3 linked regions of the Notamacropus eugenii genome follow. The protein of the gene in region 3 interacts with the protein of the main gene of each other region in a pairwise test. Links are inferred from orthologs where the notes say so. Each region holds a gene or a part of one and is shown on either strand. Other genes may lie near its edges.

What was found.
Region 1: the proteins of UBE2E3 (region 3) and RNF167 interact in a two-hybrid assay, tested with the Homo sapiens proteins (2 studies listed by BioGRID and IntAct). The link is inferred for Notamacropus eugenii from reciprocal best matches to the Homo sapiens genes UBE2E3 and RNF167.
Region 2: the proteins of UBE2E3 (region 3) and TRIM39 interact in binary tests that used the Homo sapiens proteins (3 or more experiments, as listed by UniProt). The link is inferred for Notamacropus eugenii from reciprocal best matches to the Homo sapiens genes UBE2E3 and TRIM39.

The regions. Positions count from the first base shown.
Region 1 is NC_092873.1:79,355,510-79,362,739, forward strand, and holds the start of RNF167 (E3 ubiquitin-protein ligase RNF167), read left to right. Parts: upstream 1-4,218; 5' UTR 4,219-4,393; exon of another isoform or gene 4,394-4,601; intron 4,602-4,916; 5' UTR 4,917-4,954; coding exon 4,955-5,038; exon of another isoform or gene 5,039-5,063; intron 5,064-5,375; coding exon 5,376-5,456; intron 5,457-6,321; coding exon 6,322-6,447; intron 6,448-6,528; coding exon 6,529-6,616; intron 6,617-6,716; coding exon 6,717-6,807; intron 6,808-7,230. Other genes in the region: SLC25A11 (mitochondrial 2-oxoglutarate/malate carrier protein), read right to left, coding at 1,086-1,241, 1,445-1,496, 1,831-1,930, 2,039-2,129, 2,230-2,320, 2,653-2,859, 3,077-3,229, 3,702-3,967.
Region 2 is NC_092873.1:84,399,283-84,406,426, forward strand, and holds the start of TRIM39 (E3 ubiquitin-protein ligase TRIM39), read left to right. Parts: upstream 1-4,132; 5' UTR 4,133-4,444; intron 4,445-4,651; exon of another isoform or gene 4,652-5,049; intron 5,050-5,149; 5' UTR 5,150-5,233; intron 5,234-6,814; exon of another isoform or gene 6,815-7,011; intron 7,012-7,144.
Region 3 is NC_092876.1:244,823,260-244,831,232, forward strand, and holds the start of UBE2E3 (ubiquitin-conjugating enzyme E2 E3), read left to right. Parts: upstream 1-4,968; 5' UTR 4,969-5,362; intron 5,363-5,459; exon of another isoform or gene 5,460-5,646; intron 5,647-5,653; exon of another isoform or gene 5,654-6,020; intron 6,021-6,056; exon of another isoform or gene 6,057-6,548; intron 6,549-6,590; exon of another isoform or gene 6,591-6,703; intron 6,704-6,722; exon of another isoform or gene 6,723-7,088; intron 7,089-7,111; exon of another isoform or gene 7,112-7,349; intron 7,350-7,744; 5' UTR 7,745-7,769; coding exon 7,770-7,963; intron 7,964-7,973. UniProt on the Homo sapiens protein: Accepts ubiquitin from the E1 complex and catalyzes its covalent attachment to other proteins. In vitro catalyzes 'Lys-11'- and 'Lys-48'-, as well as 'Lys-63'-linked polyubiquitination.

The DNA.
Region 1 (7,230 bases), on a different chromosome or scaffold from region 3:
CTTCAGACTGCTAAGTCAATTTGTCTCCCACATTCTTCCTTTGCAGCATTTGGGCTTCAGCCCTTTCAAGGGACATCCATCTCCCACTCCAGCTCCCAACAAAAGGGAATATAAGAAGTGCAGAATGTTTTCATGACCCCCAAAAAAGTCGAAGTAATGACAAATCCCTTACCATAGTTAAATATATTTTCATAAAATCATCGTGTATTTTTACCATAATTTTTAAGATAAAAAAAAAAGGCATAGACAACCTGTTCCTCAGGAACCTGATCAATCAAAGCAGCCCCTTTCCTCAGGCTGAGGGAGGATAGAGTATCCAAGCACACAGTAGGGGCAAACAGCTCTCTTTTCCTACCTCTTACTTCCTTATAACTGTCACTTGTTACAACAGAAATGAGGAAACACGTGGAGTATGGAGGGGCCCTGGTCTTGATCAGTGTGGAAGCTGAGCAGACACCAAATTTCAACCTGTCTCTTACTAGGCATTTACTAGGTCCTTTGCTGGGGATGGGGACTAAAAGAAGTATTCTACTTTACCATGAGGCCTCCCTGCCTACATAGGCACTCTCCTCTGTTCTAGCTCCTCTGCTTCCTTCCTCTTTTGTCTCCTACTAACTTAGTTTCCCTGCTTGGGAAGCAAGCAGAAATACTCTATCAGTCAACTGTTCCATGGAACTTAAAATTATCCAAAATGTTGCTTCTGCCAGGCCCTCTTTATCCTCCTCCCTCCTCCATGGGGTGTTCTGGGGTAGAGGTTCCAAGAGTTATGAAGAAAAGTCCCAGGATCTTTGGGGGGAACCTAGAGGCCACAGGAAAAGGGAAGTAGAGTCCAAGCTGGAGCAGGGGACAGATCAAAGTCCTTTATATCAGGAGAAACCACATGGGGGGGGGGGAAGAATGGAGATGGGGGAAATAAATAGAATGGGAAGCTGAGGAGGACAGAATCCAGACATCCCCTTTGGAAGGTGAATGTATGGTAAGGGCTGGGAGAACTGAAGCTCATGGGGGTGTGGCATGGTAGGGACCCCTCAGATCCCCATTCCTGGAGCCATGTCCTCCTGGTCCTCAGGCACCTTTGAGGCTCCTCAACCACTGAGAAAGAGCTTCTTGTAAGCTTTGTTCATCTGCTCCAGGAAAATAAAGGTGAGGACAGTATGGGGGCCAAGCCGGGCATAGTAGGGAGTGAATCCCTTCCAGAGGCTGAAGAATCCTTCATATCGAATGACCTTCACCAGCACATCCTGTCAAGGAACAAGGGGTGGGCTTGGAGGATGAGAGGAACACCAACCTCTCCCCACCTACACAGTTCCAACCAAAGGACCCAAATATGAAGATTCCCAGGCCTAGGTCCACGGATGAATACAGATCAGATGTTTTACATAATATTAGCTTATTATAAAGAAGAGATAGGTGAATAACTTCTCTGAATTCCCCAAATTCTTACCAGTCCATTCTTATACTCAGGCTTCCCATCAATCATTCGCATATTCTGGATCCTGAGGTGAATACAAGGAGGGGTAAATAACAGGTTAGAGCTGTGGGGAAAGCTGGGGCCTAGGTGGGATGGAATGAGACCAAGGCTTACAATCTTTGATGATAGATTTAAAATAAGAATAGCCCTTTAAAGTTTTCTAGTTTCATTTTACCATATTACAAATAGAGAAAAATGAAGAAAAGAGACCAGGTCTTCTTGACTCCAAGTCCAGAGCTCAAAAAATAGTATGGTTTGCTGTCCTACTGAGCTACCATTTCCTCCATCTGAACAATGTTAAGTGCATATGTGAAAACCCAGACATCCTTCCCCCTTTCTCTTAGAGACTCTGAGCCCACCTGGTTTTAACAATGTCCACAGGCATAGAGGCTGCTGTGGTGACCAGCCCACTGATCATACTGGCGCAGAAATGACAGAAGATGTTGTCAGAGAAGTAACCTATAGTGGCAGGGGAAAAAGATGTGTCAGTTTAAATCCTTGGAATGACTGGAGCACGAAGGACTGGGGACCAGATGCTCAGGTGGGTGGGGAAGGTCTGGGGCTCACCCGAATCCAAGAGAAACTGTTTAGACTGTGAATAGGAAGCAAGCTGGGCGGCATTGACAACAACAGCTCTAGCCATGGTAGGGATACAACCCTAGCATTAAGAGAAAAAGGAATGTGTCAGCCCCCTACTTCCTTTTGGACCCCCTCCCCTTTCCATGCTCCCCCCTAATCATCAAGCCTCTTCCACTCACCCTCCAAAGGGTAGGGACCCCCTCTTCCCGGGTAATCCTCAAGAGTGCATCAAAAACATTCTTGTAGCCTCTACGCTGATCCGGGGGCAACCTGCAGAAAGTGAGTAATGGTGAAAATGGGAGAGGATGACAGGAGAGAGGATCTGGAAAGAGCTAAGGTCATGAAGGAAAAAACCAAGAGTTACCAACTGATAATGCCATTCTCTTTGCATTACAAAGAATCACAGCACTTCAGAGCCAAAAAGTCAATTCCCTCATTTTACCAGTTCAGAGAAATAAACTGACTTGCCCCAAAATTGGAGGGGAAGTAGTGAAACTAGAACTTGTGCCTCCTGATTGCTAATTGACTGGTTTTTTTCAGGCTAATGGCCCAGAGAGAGGATGGGGTCCTAGGTCCTTAGGGAGGATTTAGGCATGACTCACCGACCATCAGCAGTCATTCGAATCAGGGCAACTTCAGCAGGTGTTCCCACAAAGGCTCCTGTAGCACCTGCTGTCATGCCAATCACAGCCTTCAGCAAGAAGCCAGGGGGTGTCCCATCTGCCCCAGTCAGGCGCTCAAAGAGAACAGTGTAAATGCCAAGGCGAGTTGTTGTGTAGGTTGCCTGGCGAAGGAGCCCGGCAGACAGCCTGATGGAAGGTGAAAGCAGGTCAGGCACTCCAGAATCAAAGCCCAATGGGAAAGGGAAAACCCCTTCCCTGGCCCTTCCTTCTCATAGTTTGGAGAGAAGGGCTGGGCATGGTGCCACACAGCTGCTAGTCCTCATGCCTCACCTACAGTGCCTGCCCCCTTCCTTTCCCCAAAGGCCCAGACCTCTAACTCCCAGGTCCCCAGTCCTAGAATTACCCTGTGTAGATGCCCCTTAGCCCTTCATTCCTCAGGATGCTGGTGAGGGCGTGGAAGCTGGTCTTGTATTCACGGGTCTTGGCCCCTTCCCCACTCAGCTGCATTCGGTTCTTCACCAGGTCTAGAGGCTGCACAAAAACAGTGGCCCCCATCCTGAGGTGGGGGAAGAAGGGGGCTCAGAGACGGACCCTCACAATCTCCATCCCGGGTGCCTCGGGTGCTCAGACGGGCACCACGTAAAAGTGGACGGGCCATGGGTGCCAACCGAGGTCCGAATTCGGGTTAAGTGTTCACGCAACTTTCCAGAGATTGGCTGGGCCAGGCCAGGGGGTCGCGCTGCGCTCGGGGCGGCACGGCGGGTTGCAATGACCCGGGGATCTGCAGGCCCGAAGGCCAGAGAAGGGATGGAGGTGTGACGGGGGCTCCGTGAAGGAGGGCCACACGTCAGGCAGTCCGGGGCCACCGTGCAATGGGGGCCGTGCGGCGCAGGGGCGGCGGGGGGGGGATGGGCCGGGAGCAACGTCCGCGCTGCCCCGAGGCCGCCCCCGAGTGCAGCCTCGTCGGTCCGGAGAAGCGCTTAGCTTCCAGCCCGGGCCGGTAGATGGGTGGGGAGGAGAACGCTTACCCGGCCAGGCCCCCGAACAAGAACTTGACCGATTTGGGGGACGTGCGGGGCTTCAAAGTCACCTCGCTGCCCCCCGGAGGTGCCGCCGCCGCCGCCGCCATCTCCACTAATGCCCAGCTACACCAGGGAGTCGCGAGCGCGCGCCCCCCCCACGCACCCAAGGTGACACTGCGTGCGCGCGCACGCGTCCTTGCGTGAGCTCTCTCCACCAGCCCAGACAGCCCAGACAGCCCCGCCTCCTCCCCAAACCCCGGGGTCAGCCCCATCACCACTTCAGCGGGAGGTTGGCACGCAGGCGCACAAAGAGGCGACCGGAGAGAGGACGGAACCAGAATAGTGAAGCGCAGGAATGGAGGCGGAGCTTAGAGGATAATGTTGGGAGTGGGAGTGGGTTTGAGGTTCGTGGAGAGGGTCGTGAATAAAGGGAGAGAGACAGAGAGAGAGAGATCGAACGGGGTAAACCGAAACAAACGTGCGGATACCACATGGGCATCATTAGTACGGAGGCCCCGGGGCATGAGAGAAAGTGGGGGAAATCTCGTGAGATCTAGGAAGCCGGGGAGTGACGAGGAAGATTCTCGCGACAATTGGCTTTAGTGTTTGGAGGACGGGGGAAGTGAGGAAGATCTCGCGAGACTTAAATGAACCTGAGGTAGCGGCGGCGGCGCCAGCAGCCCTGGGAGGGAGTAGAGGTTTGTAAACTGGGAATCACCGGGGGCAGCGGGAGCGGAAATCTTCCCAGTAGAATGGGAAGGACTTTGCAGGAGGTTTCTTTGGGCACCTAGGCTTCCTCCACATGTGCAGCTGTCCTTGTCGCCCTCATTTTCTGCTTTAACCCGCTGGCCCACTTTTGATGTCCCCTGGGCCCAGGTGTCGGGGGCCGGAAGTCCCTTTTAAGGGGTAAGGCGGGGGGATCCTGCAGGTCCGGAAGTGCTCCTTGTGGCTTCTTTCCTTTACCGGAAGTTCCTCTTATCATTGGGTTCCCCCCCTTTTACCCACAAACCACAAAACTTGAGTGGACCTAGAGACCCCTACTGCCCCACCTGGTTCAGAACTGTCATCTCCCCATCTCTCCTCTCCCCCCTCCCGCCCAATACCATGGGGAGTTCGGGCTGGGTGAAAGATTAGATTACTTGGCCGGGGTGGGATACATTTGGGGTTTGTGGGGTGGGCGTGGGGCGCTCGAACAGAACTCCGTTCTCTTTTTGGCTGCAGGACCCCGTCCTCCCCAACCTGCGGCTGCTGCTGCCACCATGCGTCCTGAGGCCTTTCCGTTCCCTGTGCTAATGGTCACCGTGCTATGGGGGATCACCCCCACTTGGGGGCTCATCCGAGCCGTGAGTCTGGGGACCTGGGCCCAGGGTGAGCTGAGCTTAGGACAACAGGTTCCCTACGCAAAGTGGATCCCCAACCTTTTCTTACTCCGTGGGTGTTAGGAATAATACTAGATTGGGAACCAAAGGACCTGAACTCTCCAGCAGTTACTACCATTGTGTTAATTACTTCCCACCTTTGGGCCTCAAGTTTTTTCATTTGCTAAATGAGAGGTTTGGACTAATTCCCCTTCCAGTTCTAAATTATATATATCCAATATTAGAATTGGTGAAGGGAGAGGAAGGGAGGGAGCAGGGTTTCAGCGGGGACAAAGGGAAGCAGTAAGTCTTATGTTCCCAGACTTCGGACCACAATAGCAGCATGGACTTTGAAGATCTTCCAGCCCTATTTGGGGCTTCCCTGAGCCAAGAAGGGCTCCTGGTAAGTTGCTTATCCTCTGGAAGTTTGGATCAAGGGGGTAAGAAGGGCTAGGTGAACAGTAAGCTTAGTGATATAATGGGAAAAGGACTGCAACTCTACTGAAAAGTTCTAGTTTAGAAACCTGAATTTGTTACTTTGCACCTGTGACATTGGGCAAATCACTTCTGTGACTCAGTATTCTCATCTGTAAAGTGAAAGGGTTAGACTAGGTCAGGGGTTCTTAACTTGGGGTTCATGAATTTTTTTCTCATATTTTGATGACTTTACCATTGAATCTTTTTGTAATTTTATGCATTTCATTTTATTCATTTTAAAAACATTGTTCTGAGAAGGCTTCACCAGACTTTCAAAAGATCCGAGACACAAAATTAAGCCCTAAAATACGTGATCAACAAGGTGCTTTTCCATATTTTATAGTTAGAACTATATAGCAGCATATCAGAACTTTATGGCGGAATATATTTAATTGGTGCTAGATTGGAGAGATTGATGGTTTGTATGTGGGAGAGGGAAGAGAGTTTATAACTGAAGATTACTTCCTATGAGAGTGAATAGTATTTCAAGGTAAATATCCTGAGCAAAAGCTTATCTTGAAGAAAGCTTGGAGTCAGATGGTTGTGAAGCGTGGAGAGCAGGGTACACTAGAGGCTAAAGTGGGAGAAGAAAGTAGTTGTTAGGGGAGAGGGTTCTCAACTGTGGAGGAATCTTACTGGAGAGTTTGGGATCATTATTCTAAAGAAACTTTGGTTTAGAATTGGATGTTTCTAATTAACTTGTGTCTCTTGCTGCCTGGAGGAGATAAAGGGTAGGGATTTTTGGATCCATGGAGGCAGGAAGAGCACCTAATCTTATTCCCTCCCCCCAGGGGTTCCTAGTTGAGGCTCATCCTGCCAATGCCTGTAGTCCTATCAATCCTCCACCTCTTGCTCCTGCCAATGGTTCTGCCTTTATTGCCCTGCTTCGGAGATTTGACTGCAACTTTGATCTCAAGGTGGGGAATGGGAATGGGGATTGTGGAAGGAATTTAGAGTGATTGGGTGGTTGTTACCGTGACTCCCCTTCATCCTCTCAGGTTCTAAATGCCCAAAAGGCTGGGTACAGAGCAGCTATAGTCTACAATGTGAATTCCAATGAACTTTTGAACATGGTGTGGAATAGTGGTAAGAGTTGGGTACCTGAGCACCCAAGTCCTTGGGGTGGGGGGAGGTGAGAGGAGGTGGGGATGCCTGAGTCCCTGGTATGACAGTCCCATTCCTGCAGAGGAAATTCAGCAGCAGATCTGGATCCCATCAGTGTTTGTGGGAGAGACAAGCTCAGAGTACCTGCGCTCCCTCTATGTCTACGACAAGGGGTATGATTTGTCTTCCCTGTCCTCAATCCTGATTCATATCTGGTGTGTTCCTAATCTCCTTTTCCCACCCGATCTTTTCATTCACTATTTTCCTCTCCACCTTGTGTCTCTCCTTCCCCCCCCCCCATAATTATTCTTTTATCTCAGTCTGGCATACCATGTGAGTCACAAAACTTTGCTAGGAAGGGCACAGGACTCATGAGTTTGCTTAAGCTCTATGGCTGTAGCATGTCTGTCTGAGCCTGTTTCCTCATTTGTAAAATAGAAGTAGGCAACTTGTATTGCCTATGCCACGGGTTTGTTGTGAGGAAGTTTTGTAAACCATAAAGTGTTAGAGAAATATGAGCTTTTGTGCTTGAGTTTTTATTTCCCTTCCTTTTCCCATGCCTCCAGTCCTTGAATGCCCCTTATTGCTGGGCTCTC
Region 2 (7,144 bases), on a different chromosome or scaffold from region 3:
CTCTGGAAAGCCTGGAATATCACTTAGTCTGGAGGTGCACAGATAAGCAAGGAGAACAGGAAAGAGGGAGGAGGGGTGCTGCTCTGGAGTCTATACAGATAAGCAAAGGGAACAGGGAAGAGTAGGGGACAAGTTGTTCTGTCAGGTTAGGTTATTTCGGGTACTTTGTGAAGGCACACAGGTAAGGCCACAGTGTGGGGCTTCAATGCACAGTGTTCTTTAATCACTTTTCTGGGTAGTCACATCCTGTATCTTGTCTCATATCTCAACATCCTGCTTGCTCTATCTGCCTCTAATACTCCTTTCTACCTCATCGTTGAGAACTGCTGAACTTTCATTCAGTACAACAAACATTTAGTAAATACATTTCTCTTGCAAGGTCTGATGCTAGTCTCTGTCGATACTGTGACAAAAACAATACTCTCTGCCCTCAATTCTTATTTTCCTAGGGAGATACAATATTTATATAAATAAGCATGTACAAGATAAACTGAGAAAAGAAAGTGTAACAACTGGGGAGATCCTAAAAGGTTTCACCTTTGTGATACCTCTAAGCTAAACCTTGAAGGACAGCAAGAAGAAATATGTATGTATTATATATACAGATATCTAATTTCATATATATATACATATACTCTGTGTGTGCACATATACATATGTGTATATATATATATATATATATATATATATATTATGTACAGCCATGAAAAACAAAGAACTTACCCTAAAGGAATTTACAGTATTGGGGGAGGGGGTGAGATGGATGCACAAACAGGTAAAGTACAAGGAGAAAAAAAGCAGAGACCCAGGACAAGCACTCTAAGATCTGAGGGGGAAAAAAATCATTTCCAGCTAGGGAAATTTTTGTTGGCCATAATCAGTGTTTATCACGTCCCTTAGGGGGGTTGTTATGAAGTTTAAATGAGATAATCTGTGTAAAAGGCTTTACAAACTGTAGGATGCTATATAAAATGTCAGTGTAAGACAGATAAACACAGGATACTTGAGGACTGCTAGCACGGGTTCACTCTTGATTTGGTCAGACAGGAAATACTAAAAAGGGATTAATAATCTTACTTTAGTCTAGTTTTCTCAGAAGAGGATTGCTGATAACCAGAGCACAAACTCCTACAGCATTCCCTAATCACCCTTCTCACAGGGGATGGTGAGAAGGGGGGGAGGCAACTACCCCTACATCTCAATAGGGTCAATTCAGAAAGGCACAACTTGTGTTTCCCCTAAATCCCCTCAAGCCTCAATGGGAGCCAGTTGAGGCAAACACAGATTCCCCCCAAGCCTTGATGGGGGCCAATCAAGGCAGCACAGCATTCCAGTGCACTCAACCCTAAGTGTTGCCCCACCAAACCTCAGTGGGGTCAGTTGAGCCACACACAGCATTTGTGCATTCAACCCTAAGGGTTCCCCATTCACTATCTAGTGACCACCTATTTTATAGGCCAACAAAGAAGGCATATTGTTAGCAACAGCCAAAATGTATCTCACAGTGCAGCTGCAGTGAATGTCTATATTATCATTATATAACTATGTGCAGGCGCGGTGGAGATGTTTTGAACCATAACTGTGGGAACTCATATCTAGGACTTGGGAATTGTTGACTGTTATGGCTATGGATCCTGGGAAACTGAACTCTGAGAAATAATAGCAAAAATTCACTTTACACACACTAAAATCCACCTTACACTAAAATTCACCTTTCATATAGTCAGTTTTGAGTATCTTGTTCAATCTGTCTGACTCTCATCACCCCATTTGGACTCCTCTTGTGTTTTTCCATTTCCTTCTCCAGCTCATTTTACAGATGAGGAACTGTGGCAAATAAGGTTAAGTGATTTGCCCAGGTTCACACAGCTAAGTTATCCGAGGACGAATTTGAACTCTAGGAAAGGCACTATATACACCGTGCCAACTACACCAGCCTCTAACTATTTAGTATAGTAGGTGTTGTTTTTCTACATTCGGCTATTACTTTCTTGTAACAGCTGACCATGCCATCAGAGAAATGGTGGTCTTCTTCGACAACGAAGGACAAACACAACCTTGTAAGTAGATGCAGCTGGCTGAATGGGGACCCAGCTAGGTGAGTAACTCAACTGCTCTTCTCCTGTCTGCCTGCCCCTCCCCTACCTTCTTCTCTCCAAAGGAAGGTAAATTTGGATGGCCAAAAGATGCCCAGTTGACTTGAGTTTTACTGGCTCCTTTCCTTCCCTTCCATTCTGTTGCTTGTCTTGTCCGGTCATGACAACTTTAAACCTACTGCACTCTGAAACTGGGACTCCAATGGGCCCCTGCCTAAGAGCTCCTCTGGACTCTCCTAGCTTTACAGTGATTATCAATAGTAACTGTTGCTAGTTCCCACCCAGCCTGATGTCTTTCTTTTTCTTGACCTCATTAATGGGGCTATGCCCTGCCTACCTCTTAAACAAGCCTATTCAATGAATGAGCATAGCCTCACCCTAAGTGAGTGTCTGCAAAGACCTTAGCCTAAAGTGCCCAAGGCCTCCCACTGCATCCTGGGTTATCTCCAGTCATCCTGAGGAATATCAGGTCACTGGATTCAGATGGCTCTGGAGAAGAAGTGAGGCTGGTGACCTGCACAGCCCTCCCTCACTCAAAACAAAGTCAAGTGCAAGTCATGTCATCATTTCTCTGATGGCATGGTCTTCTTCAACAAAGAAGGACGAACACAATCTTGTAACAGTCAAACATTCAGATTAGCCAATGAGGCAACACACATGCATTTTCTCTCTTTATTTGTTTGAAGACTCACATACCCTCCCTGACTGGGGAGGCAAGTGATCTAGACCTTGAAGGTTGAGGATTTCAAAGGGAAGAGAAGTGCTGGAAGATAATCTCAGGTATGGGGGAGCAGGGTGGAATTCCAGGAAGAGTGTGGGTCCTGGATGTCTTGCGGAACAGCTAAAAGTCCAGTTTGGTTGAAACGTGGATAGTGTCCGAAGTACAAAATAAGACTAGGAAGAAAGAGGCCGTGGTTACTATGGTTGTGTATCTAGAAGATCATCCTGTAAAGGAAGAACCCAAGAAGGAAAAGACTATTGGTAGGAAGACCAATTCGAAGGCTCTTGGCAAAGTAGTTCAGGTGAAACCTCTACCAAAAATGTGATAGGACTTTCAAGATATGAGTTGCAGATGCAGTACAAAACTAAGGAGAGCTGGTGTTCAGTTCTGAAAATTTTTCAGATAAGCTTAAGGAAACTTTTGGAATTTTCTCAGCTTAAGCTAAGTAGCACTGATCGGTATCTAAGGATGTGGTCGTCATCACTCTTTACAAGTTTAGTAGCAACACCTTTCTGGCCACATCAGTTTTGCCACCGTAGTCCTGTGAATTCTCCCACATGGGGTCAAGTATCCTGCTCGAGAACCAGTTCTTGCTGCCCTTCTCCCCCTTGGAGTTCCCAAGACTGCAAACTTCCCCATTCCCAGGATTACAGACGTGGAAGAACATCTCACACGAGATGTTAGCAAAGGGGAGGTCGGGTTCGGGAATGGAACCGGGGTCTCGAGAGTTCAAGTGCACTGAGGCCACGCAGCCTCTTTCCCCCAACTTCGAAACACGTCTACCTACCAGCTGTAACCTAATAGAAGAGGGGAGGGAGCCTTCTTACTATTCTGTTCCTATAAAGCCCTTTTAAGCAAAACCTCGCTTTTCTTGTGACACCCCAGTGAACTGAACTAGTACTGTAATTCCCATTTTAGTTTTGATTTGGGTTAATCTTTCCCTCCACGGACTCGAGGAGAAATGGGCACAGCCAGCCACCGTACCGCCGGGGGTCCTGCCCTAGCTTCTCTCTAGGTTCCCTTCCCAGGCCCAGAACATGGGGTGTGGTCGTTCAGCTTTCCCATCCGAAGACCCAGACTCACCTCGCCCCGGTCCCGGGTCCGCTGAAGAGGGCGCCAGCGGCCACCTGGGCTTAACACCCCGTCACCACGACCGCTCTAGCCCGCGCCCGCTTCTCTGTGGCCTCAGGTAGCTCCGGGGCGCCTGCGCTCCGAAGCCCCGCCCACCCTGGCCACCACCCGCCCCTCTCGGAGACTTCGGCAGCTCCTGTGGCCTGTGCGCAGGCGTGCGTCCCCAACGCCCCCCTCCTTCCGCCCTTTTCGCGATGGCCTCGCGGGTCCATTGGGCGCGTGCAGCGCGACGGCCCAAACCCCCTTCTCCTTAATCCCTTCTCGCCCCAGCTGATCGGGGTTGAGCCTAGTTTATATCCACGGCTTGTTGGCGATGGCATCACGGGCTCCTCCCCCCGGCCGGCTGTGGGCACCGAGGCTTCAGCCCGGGGTGGGACTCGTGGAGCGTAGATTCCGCTTCCGGTGTGTATTGTGTGTATCTTTCGGGGGCTGGAGGAGGAGGCAGTGGCCTCGGCGGCTCCGGTACCCCGGACCCCCGGATCTGGACCTGGGGGAGGTAAGTGGGAATACCTTCCCCCTCCCTCCGACTTGTGCTACCCTTTTCTCCCTGGCCAGCTTCAGCTCTGCGTTCCAGCGTCCCCGCGCCCTGTTACTACGTCACTGCCACCCCCAGCACGTAACAATCGCCTTCCTCCTCCTGCTTGGGGGGCTGGAGCCAACGTCACCTCTGCCCTGGTGATGTCAGGGCGTCCAGCGTGGTCTAGCTGCATTGCCTTAGTGTCTCCCCTCTGCCATACTTCATTCTTAATCCTCCTCATCCTCATGCTTACCCAACTTAATGATGTCATAGACATCCTCCACTCCATCACAGCAGTCCGAGATACTCTGCTCATGCCTCTCTTTGGGGTCACCACCACCCTTCCTGCCAGTCAGAGGCCTTGTTTTCCTTACCCCTCCTGGCAGTGTCATGTTAGGCAGAGCTGGAGAGAGGAAATAAGGGTGGTCTGGGGACAGAGTTGTGGTCAATGCTTGGAAGAAAAGAGTAGTAAAGTTAGGGTCCCCCAAAGATGGGGAGAAGCAGAATGTGGGTTCCCACAAAGTTTGCCCGTCATCCACTGACACTTTCAGAGGAGGAAGAGAATCTGTTTCACCACGCACAGAGTCAGTATCTGTAGGAAGAGTTTTGTTTTTGGCTCCCCTCCATAGACCCTTCCCTCTCCAAATATCTGACCGTTTTCCTCCTTTCCCTTTCTTCCTTCAGGGCTGGGTGGTCCTTCCCTTTTCCCATCCTAATGCCCTGTTCAGTCTTGGCTCCTAAGCTACAGAGACTACAACTCTTCCCTAGGTAAGTAAACCTCTCAGCTCTTAGATGTTTTATGAACATGGCAAGAGAAGGTCTTAGAACTGGGTGCCTTAGAGGTAGAATAATATGAAAACTTAATTCATCTCCTGGTTGATGAGGAAAGGATGACACAGAAATGGCCTGTGCTAATTTATCCTCCATTTAGTGCAAATCAATAAATACTTATTAAGCCCAAGTATATCATATTAGGTGCTAGGGATGAAAAAAATGAATGCTAGTTTACCCCATTGGGGACCTTAATGAACTCAGATACGTAGGAAATTGGTTCTACTAATGGATATAGAATTTGTAAAGAATCCAGCGTCCTTTTCTTTAATATCATTTATTTCTAGGCTTCATAGACATACTATATACTGTTTATCCTCCTTTTCCCTCCTCCCCCCACCCCCCCAAAAAAACCAGTATCTAATAGTAGCTAGAGAAAATGAGTCAGGAGAAGGTGTAATGTTAGACATTCGTTTGTTTGCTGGTAAGTCTTGCTTTCTTTGGGCTATATAGAGAGTTTTCCTGGTATTAGGCACAAAAAGAGACCTATGATGTGCGATAGACTATAGGATGTATGTTCCCCATATAGGTCAGGAAGAAAGTAAAAAGTGAGTATAGGATTTGTTATAGGTTGAGCATTATATTTTTTATAGGCAGGCAAGATGAGAAGATGCATTTTTTTAAAAACATTTTATTATTGTATATGATCCAAATTTTTGTGTCAGTTATTTTCCCCCTAAACCCTACCTTGAAACAAAGAAAACCAATTAAGCAAATGAACATAATGATTGACACTTCTGAACAGGTATGCAACATTCCATTCCTATAGTCTCCCAACTTTTTTAAAGGGAGGTGCTTTCCTCATTTCTTTTACAGGGCTAAGATTGATCATTAAAATCATTCTGCTTGAGATTTGTTGTCAGATTTTGTTTACATTATTGTTGACCTAATGGAAGAAAGATATTTTGGCCATCGGATTGTATTTAGTAGAGAGTTTTGTAGATAGTTTTTGGCAGTAAGCTGTGAATTAGGTATAAGGGAATATGGACCTGAGATAGTTACGTAATTTGGATACTGGAGGAGAGAAGGAAGGATAAAGGCAGAATGAGTTATTGAAAAGATCAAGCTTACTGAGCTTTAAAGTTTTTTTTAAATCCCCACTGCTTAGCACAATATGTAGCAGCACGTAGTAGACAATAAATACTTTTTGATGGACTTGGTGGAATGGAGTAGAATGTGTTTCTGGAATGTGCTGGGGTGATCCATGTTAGAGAATCTCTAGTCCTCTAGTCACTGCTAACTAATTGGGAGTTTTGTTTGACAATTTTTCTTGTTTTCAAAGGGTAATACCTTGGGCCTAATAGGCATTACCATTGGTACTGTTGAATGTGGGTGCTACATATTTGCAACTCTTTAAATGTGTGCACCAAGATGATTAGATCCCCAGTGTTAGGAGGATGTTAAGATAAAATGTATCCAAAGAGCAGTGGAGCACTTTGTGAATCATTTGAGTCCGAACGGAAGGCAAAGTGCACACCTTTTAACATGATGTTACTTTTTGCTGGCTTTATCTATTAGGCCTTCCTGAAAAGAAGCAGGGTGGCATCCATCCTCATCCCAAATCAAGTCCTGTGAAAGAGTGGGGATTGAATGATCCATGAGGAGGTGTATGAAAAAATTGGTGAGGAATAGGCCTAGAAGAAAGATGAAGAGCAACTCTAGGAGAGAAGAATGATTGGGACAAGTTGGAGGATGGGAAAAAATAGTAGATACAGGTGAGTGGTAGAAGTTGACAATTTGGTATGTTCTAGGGTAGAGAGGAAAATGTTCATTTTATATATATCACAGAATTTTGATGGGGAGATATGCCTCCTTTTTTTAGTTATTTCAATAAAATGTTTATACAGT
Region 3 (7,973 bases):
AGATCCACAGGAAGGCAAAAGATCCACTGGAGAGGGAAGGAGAGCTTTCATGACTGTTCACGGACCTGGGTGAATTTTCTATTAAGCAAACTAAAGTCTGTCCCACATTCAAGGTATTGTTAGCCTGAGTCCTTGAAAGAGAGCTGAGGACCCCTTATTTTCACTTTAGAGACCTAGACAAGAGCCACATTCTCATATTTCCAGGGAAATTCTTGGTAGGGGCATGAGCCCAAGGGAAATTCCTGGGAGAAGTCTCCAAGACTCAACCCAGTCCATGTAAATCCAGGGTTGAGTTTTCGGGACATAAGTTATTGGTCCCATGCAACCAATTGTACAGGGGTCACATGACTTTTAAGATTTTTTTTCCTTCTTAAATTAATTTAAATTAAAAAAAATTCATAAATGTCTAAAAAAATAAAGCTTACAGTTATATAACACTTTAAAAATATTTAATATGTGTATTTTACATTGTAAATATGTGTACTTTACATTGAGACTCACACAGCCTTTATGAAGTACTAACAGTAGCTATGATTAGTTAAGTTGTGCCAAGTTATACAGTTACAGTTACTGGCAGAACCAAAAGTTGAACTCAGTTCTTCTGAATTTAAGGTTATACCTTGCAGGCCCAGGGCTATCACTTAAATGCAGGTTAGATTTATTTTTCTGTATACATTTACCCACAATGAAGCTCATTTGCCATTTTTCACTAGCTTGCATAGGCTGATGACCTCTTTACTTTATCCTAGTTCACCAGGGATTTTACTACCTAGAAGGGCTAATATAATTTGTACTTTGAAATTTTACTGTATATGCCCTCTTCTAGAATACTTTCAAAAAGGTTAAAAAAGACTCTTCCTCGTGGAGATCCCTGAAGTACCCATTTTTAACACTTGTCTGTCCAAGAAAGACCTATTTATTTTTAACCTTTGCTTTCAATCAGCTAGTTTTTCAGCCATAATAAAATTCTCCAATCCATCTTGTGGTAATTCAGTTTCTTTCTTTTTCTTTAATGGCTTCGGGTCTGCAATCTTTTCCACAAGACTGAATACCAATCAAATTAATTCAAAACTCTGGATGCACATGTATTATTTCTTATTGGGTAACCTTAATTTAGACAAACGTGAAGGAATACAGAAGAAAAAGTTAATGTCCAAAACGTATATGCGCAAAGACTATTTGGTTGGTAAAAATCTCACTTTTCCTGTGTCCTCTTGAAAAGCTGTAGGAGCCATCCTCTGGAAAATGTCTTTTTGTTATCCATTTTTTTCTGAGCCTCAAACAGAGGACTACTTGGGAGGGCGAGAAACTGAATAAGAATGCCACTAATGTTTGCCTTTTTGATCTGGAAATGCAGATCTTTACTATTCAAACAAATGTATCTAGGCTACACATTTGAATCTACCAGTACTCAATTAAGTTAGAGGAGGGTAGGGAATGGAGGGAGGGTGGATGAGACAGAGAGAGAGATCCAAAACAATGTGGCTCAAGCCACATTGTCCATTTTCAAGTGGAAAAAGACAAATCTTATGTGTACTGGGGTTGGTATCTTTATCTGGGAACAGTTAGTACTTTCAACTTGTTTTATATTATCTCTCCCTTCATTGAAAGCCAGTTTAGAGAATTAGTTTCAGAATTGGAAAGGACTAATTCAACCTATACCTGAAAAAAAGATCCTCACTATAATACACCTGATAATCCAAAGCAGCCCATTCCACTTTTGTATAGCTCTGATTGATTTTTTTCCCCTTCCATCAAGATTAAATTGACCTCCTTGCAATTTCCAACTATTGTTCTAGATTCTCTCTCTGGAGCTAAAGAGAAGTCTAGTCCCCTTTCTATATGACATCTCTTCAAACACTTGAAGCCAGCAGTCATGTTTCTTCACCAATCCCACTTCAAGTCCAAATATTCTCTTTTCCAGGCTGAACATCCCCAGTTCCTTCAACTGTTCTTCATACGGCATTAATTTTAGGTTCTTTAACCATTCTGATTTATATCAGGAAAACCCATAAACAATAGCACAGATGAGGAGAGCAGGGTATGATTTTAGGAAATGTTGAATAATCTGGAGGGGAAATATGTGAAGCACTAATGTGAGACAAACTTGGAGGGGTAGGTTAGAGTCAGATTGTGGAAGACTTTAAATGCCAAGAATAGACTGTATTCAGTTGGCAGTGCCATGATCAGAACTGTGTAATAGAATGTTTAATGTGGAACAATACCTCCAACAACTTCAATAACACTGTTTAGTAGCATCACTGATGTTAAAAAAAAAAGAGACTTTTTAATTTTGTATCAAAATCCTCCAAGACGGAAGTCATCCCAGGACCAGGAGGGAACTAGAGACAGTATCCACTTCATCCACTCTTTTTCAAAACTGTCTGAAAAAGGAGAGGTGTTGTTCTTCCAGAAAATATCCTTAAGTTCCCTATTGTGGGGGAAAACTGAAATGAGCTGCTCACCACTTCAGATAAAAATGAGCGAAAATGATTTTAAAAAAACCCTGAAGCAACCCCCTTCTTACCCCCTGCAAAAAAAAAAAAAATATGTCTTCCTAGTGAACCAGTTCAGTTCTATTGATGGATAAAATTTCTCTTTTCCCATTTTATTGGTAAAGCCTTGATAGCATAGAGAAGTATGGGTATAGGTAAATGGATACCTATATCACAATATTTCGGAGCTGGCCAGGATTTTAATTAATAAGTCCAATGTTCTTATTGTGCAAACAAGAAAATAGAGGCCCAGAGAAATGAAGGGCCTTGTCCAACGTCACACAGTTCTAACTCTGCTACTAACTAGAATTCAGGTAACTTAATTTCTAGTCTAGTACTATCTGCAAAGCATCATGTTGCTCCCAAAAACTAAACAGGAAGGAAGGAAAGAAGGAAGGAAGGAAAGAAGGAAGGAAGGAAGGAAAGAAGGAAATAAGAAGGGAGGAAAGAAGGAAGGAAAGGAAGGGAAGAAGTAAGAAAGAAGGGAGGGAGGATGGAAAGAAAGGGAAAAGAGAAAGAAAGAAGAAAAATAAAGAGCAAGCAGGGAGTTAAAGGAATACTGAGAGAGCTTGGGGGGCACTTGAAAAGAAAGAAAACAGCTGAAATCAACAAAAGGAATCAATCAACAAACATTTATTGAGCACTATCCTAATCCTTTTTTGGGATATCAAGTCTGAGGTCCTTGTTTTCCAGGAGTTAACAGGCTGGTTGGAGATATAAGGTAGAGATATTTGAAATGTTTAAACAGAGGGGGGAAATGAAAAGAAAGTAAGAAAAATATTTTTAAAATCATCAAAAGGAACTACATGACTAATTTCTGGATGAATAGGATAAGGATTAAGTGCGCTAGGAGTTCAGAAGAGGACATCATGGATCTAAGTTTTTAAAAAAGATGTGATTTTGACTGGATCTTGAAGAATAAGTGAAATCTGAAAAAGTGTTCACATTTCAGGCTGGAGGAATGATAGGAGAAACAAAAAGTAAATCAACAGATATTCACTTATCAAGTGCTGATTACATGGGAAGCCCTCTTTAGGTTAGGGATAGGGACTGGATATGTGAATTCATTTATAAAGGGAACTACAAAAAAAAATTAAAGTCCCTACCCTCAAGGAGCTTACATTTTAACAAAAGAGGAGAAAGTTCAAGACAACTTATTTTGCGTACATAACACAGACAAGAGCTGGAAGTGACTTTAGATGCCAGTCGATTTTACAGACCAAGAAGCTGAGACTGAAAAAGATGATTTACTTGTCATTTACCTTTAGTTAGTGTCAGATGAAGCAAAGACTAGAATTTGGGTCACCTAACTTAATGGTTTACTGTTCTTTTCACTTAATCATTAGCTAGAACTTTGGGTCCAAATCTGTAAAATGAGGGAGGTGATAATCACAGTACCACCTTATAGTGAATTGTATATCCCTTTAAAATGTATAAAGTGTTTTCATATTTTCACATTGGTAAACTAATTTAATTAAGGTAAACAGAATAGGAATTACTGATTTAAAACCCATATATATTTAAATAAATTCACAGATGGAGGCAGAAAACTAAGACTCACAAGTTTAGTGACTTGCCTAAGGTCACAGAGCTAGTATAGTAAATGGCAAAATTGAGTCCAAGTCTTAATGGCTCCAAATGATGTCCTTTCCAGACCTCTAAGCCTCTTTGTGCTATAAAATTTTGTCGCTATGAATTTATCTTTTCTCCTCAAAACCAAGTTCTTTACTTGCCTGCTCTATTTCTATCTCCCAGGTACAAAACCTGAATCATCTTACATTCTTCTCTTTCCCTTATCCTCCTCTATAACCAGTCACCAAATCCTCCTGAGTCTTTCTTCACAACTTTCTACATCTTTCCATTGACTATTACCATCTAACTCCAGGGCTTTAACAATTCACAGCCAGACAACCCCCAAGTGGTCTCCTTGCTAGTGGTGTTTCTGCCTTTCTCTCTCCCGTTCATCTTGCTTAAATAAAGCGCACTTTATCAACCCACTCCCCTGCACAAAAACCTTCCATGGCTCCCCACTGCTGCCAGAACAAAGTCCAAACTCCTAGCAAGGGTCAAAGTCCATTTTCCCAGAAATACCTTTTTTCTCCAACTTGCGTCCTTCAGTAAATACACGAATGTTATTTACTGATCAGATCTACTTGGGGAAACCTCTCACAAAAACCTTTCTATTTGGGGAGAAAAAAATCAGCCCAGTATGGGGGCACATTTCCCTTTTTGATGTACTTTCCGTTGAACTTCCCACACTGTCAGGACTCGGATCTCTTTTTCTCTTTTGCCAACATCTGTGTAAGTGGAATCCACAAATCCCTCTCGGGCTCCATCCCTAGAACCAGGGCTGCTCAGTAGCAGGGGCAGGTCTGGGCTGTAAACAGGAAGTTTTTGTATTTCTGGCCACCTTGTGATTGGGCCTGGGGCCGCCTGCCAGGAGACCAAAAAGGAACGGTTAATCCGAAGTACTGGGAGGGTGGGGGAGAGAGAAGGAATCTTGAGTTTGGGGCTCAGCCTGACTCGCGCTGCCAGCGAGGTGCATGTGTCCAGGGCCGGGGTCCTGCCTGCATGCCAGCCTCGCGCTGCACAAAGTGCTGCGGTCGCGCCCCTTTCCAGCGCGAGCGGGACATTTAAAATTTGTTATTCCCCCTTTTAAGTTTCCAGGGCCTCCGGAACCCCATCCCGTGGGGGAGCGCTGTTAAGGGCAAGGGCGGAGAAGGCGCCGGGGTCACCAAGCCCCCTGAGATCCTTCCCTGCCCCCGGTGCCCAGGACCGTCCTTCCCAAGCCCCCAGTCCCCTCCGTCCCTGCCCACTCGGACTGCAGGGAAGGGAAGATGGCTCTTCCCCGGTCCCTGGACTCCTCGGTAAATATCAATCCATCTTCCCGGGCAGGAGGGAGGCGGCGAGGTGGCCTTCGACAGCAACTACAGGTCTGGGGTGGCAGGGCCGAGATCCTGGGCCCTGAGGATCCACCCTCCCCCCACACCCAACCCTTTAGTATCCAGAGCCACCGCCGCCTCCTCCCGCACTGGGGGAAGGGTGCCAGGCGGGGGAGGAGAGCCTTTGGGGGTGACCCTCCCTGCTGGCGCTGCCGAGGTGCACCAGACGGCGAGCTCCCTCCTCCTCCTCCCCCGTGCAGAACCGACGGGTGGGTAGCCCAGTGGGTAGCTCAGGGAAGGGCGGTGGGGCAGGGAGAGTGGAGCGGTGCAGGCCGGAAACCACCCTGCTGCAAAATCGGCCCTCTGGCCCCTCGGGCGGGTGCCCCCGCCCTCCCCGGGGCTGGCTGGCTGGCCGGCCCGGCGCATTCCTCCGGGCCAGTCCGCCCCTGTCCCCGGCGGGCGGCGCACTCTTTGTCCTTGGCCGGCCCAGGCGGGCAGACGCGTGCGCCCCCCGGGTGAAGGGAAGCGCGGGGGGGGCGGGAGAGCGAGCGAGCGAGAAAGCGAGAGAGGGAGAGAGAGAGAGCGAGCGAGCGAACGACGGGAGGGAGCCAGCCCGGGCTGCCGGCGCGCGCCCCACAGCCAGGCAAGCGAGCACGCGCGCCGCCTCCTCCTCCCCCCTCCCCTCCCCCTCCCCTTCCCTCCCAGCTCGCAGGGAACTTGCTGACTGCACCGATCGGGAGGCGAGCGGGGACAGGGGAGGCCGTAGAACTCTCGGATCTCCCCCGTTCCATCTGGGCTCCCGGGGAGCTCGCGCCCTCACACAGCAGCGGCGCCTCCTCCTCCTCCTCCTCCTCCTCCTCCTCCTCTTCCCCGTTCCGTCCCCCACCCCACCCCCACCCCACCCCCGTTTTCTTTTCTCTCCCTCTTTTTTTTTTTTTTTTTTTTTGCAAAGGCGCTGGGCGGCGCCACCCTCCGGCCAGAGCGCCGCACTACACAACCCCCTACGACTTTCAATGTTCCACACTCCCCGGCCAGAGCCTCCTCTGCTTCTTTTTTTTCCTCCCCCCCCCTTCCCCCCTCCCGGCTGCTTCCATTTCCTTAAGGAAGGGTTTTTTTTCTCTCCCTCCCCCACATCTCAGCTGCGTGTAAGCGGGGCAGAACGGCGGTGAAGGTAAAGCTGGAAGGGTTTTTTTGGGGGGGGCGGTGAGGGGTGGGGGGGGCGGCTTGCAGCGGCGGCGGCGGCGGCGGCAGGAGCAGCAGCAGCAGCCGCGGCAGCCGCAGCAGCAGCAGCAGCAGGAGCCGCCGCCGCCGCCGGGGCGAGCTGGGGTTGGTTGGTGGGGGGGGAGGGGGAGGGGGGCCGAGGGAGCTTTGTTCTTGTTTTCGGCGCTCGCCCTGCCGGTCTCCGGGAGCCCGAGGAGCCAGGACTGACTTCACGCATCACTTGGTGCACACACCACGCTGATATTGGAGCGCTGCCTCCTACCATAACAAACCCTCTCCCCGTCCCTCCCCACAAAGGGGGCTGCAAAGCTGCATTGCCGCCGCCGCCGCCGCTGCAATTTCCTATCGAAAGCTTTTCTTTTTCTCTCTTTTGCAAATTCTGTTCGGAGTTCTTTTGGGGGCGGGGGGGCTTTTTTTTTTTTTGGCCAAAATGTCGGTCTGTAATATCAAAACCGAGCCAGGAACGGTGGCGTTGGGAGCTTTGCAGAAGGTGCAGTTTGAATTTTGCTTTTCGCTGTGGAGCAGCCCTGTGGTGGCCAAATGAATCTTTGCTGCTGGCCGTGCCAACCAAGGAGGCTGCTTTTTAGCCTCCCCCCCTTTTTTCCTTGGGGAAGGGGGGGAGGTACAGCGCTTAAAGGCTTAAGTGCCAAGAGAAAGGGGTTGTTGCCACGTTTAGGAAGCATAGGGGTGATTAGCAGGACGTGTTTTTCCTTCAGAGAGGGAATTTGGTAGCTCTGACCCACGTAAATGTGTAAATATTTAGACGTTATTAGTAACTTTGTAACATTTTTCAGCGAGGTCTGTTATTTACAATGTGTCAGATGTTATTAATGTTCATTGCTTAAGTTCCCTGGCAGATCTGTTTCGTGCCTTCTGAGAAAGTAGACAATTGATAGATTGTCCAAGGGACGAAAAAAATTCTGAGTGGGTTTTCCAAGTTGAGTTCTGTAAATCTTTAAATATTGGCATTCTGGTACATACATCACCTCCCTCTGTAACCTTGCAGTAACAATGAGATAAGTGTATAGACACTTTAAAAGGCTTATCATTTAAAAGACAGATTTTAGGAAATATTTTGCAGAAAGGAATGATGTGGAATTTGTTCTTCAGGTTTAACGCCCTTTTTTCTTTTCTTTTTTTTAAAAGTTTTCAGAGAAATAACTTGACCAAGATGTCCAGTGATAGGCAAAGGTCAGATGATGAAAGTCCAAGTACCAGCAGTGGCAGTTCAGATGCAGATCAGAGGGACCCAGCAGCACCAGAACCTGAGGAACAAGAAGAAAGAAAACCATCTGCCACCCAGCAGAAAAAGAACACCAAACTCTCTAGCAAAACCACTGCTAAGTTATCTACTAGTGCTAAAAGGTAATACCTA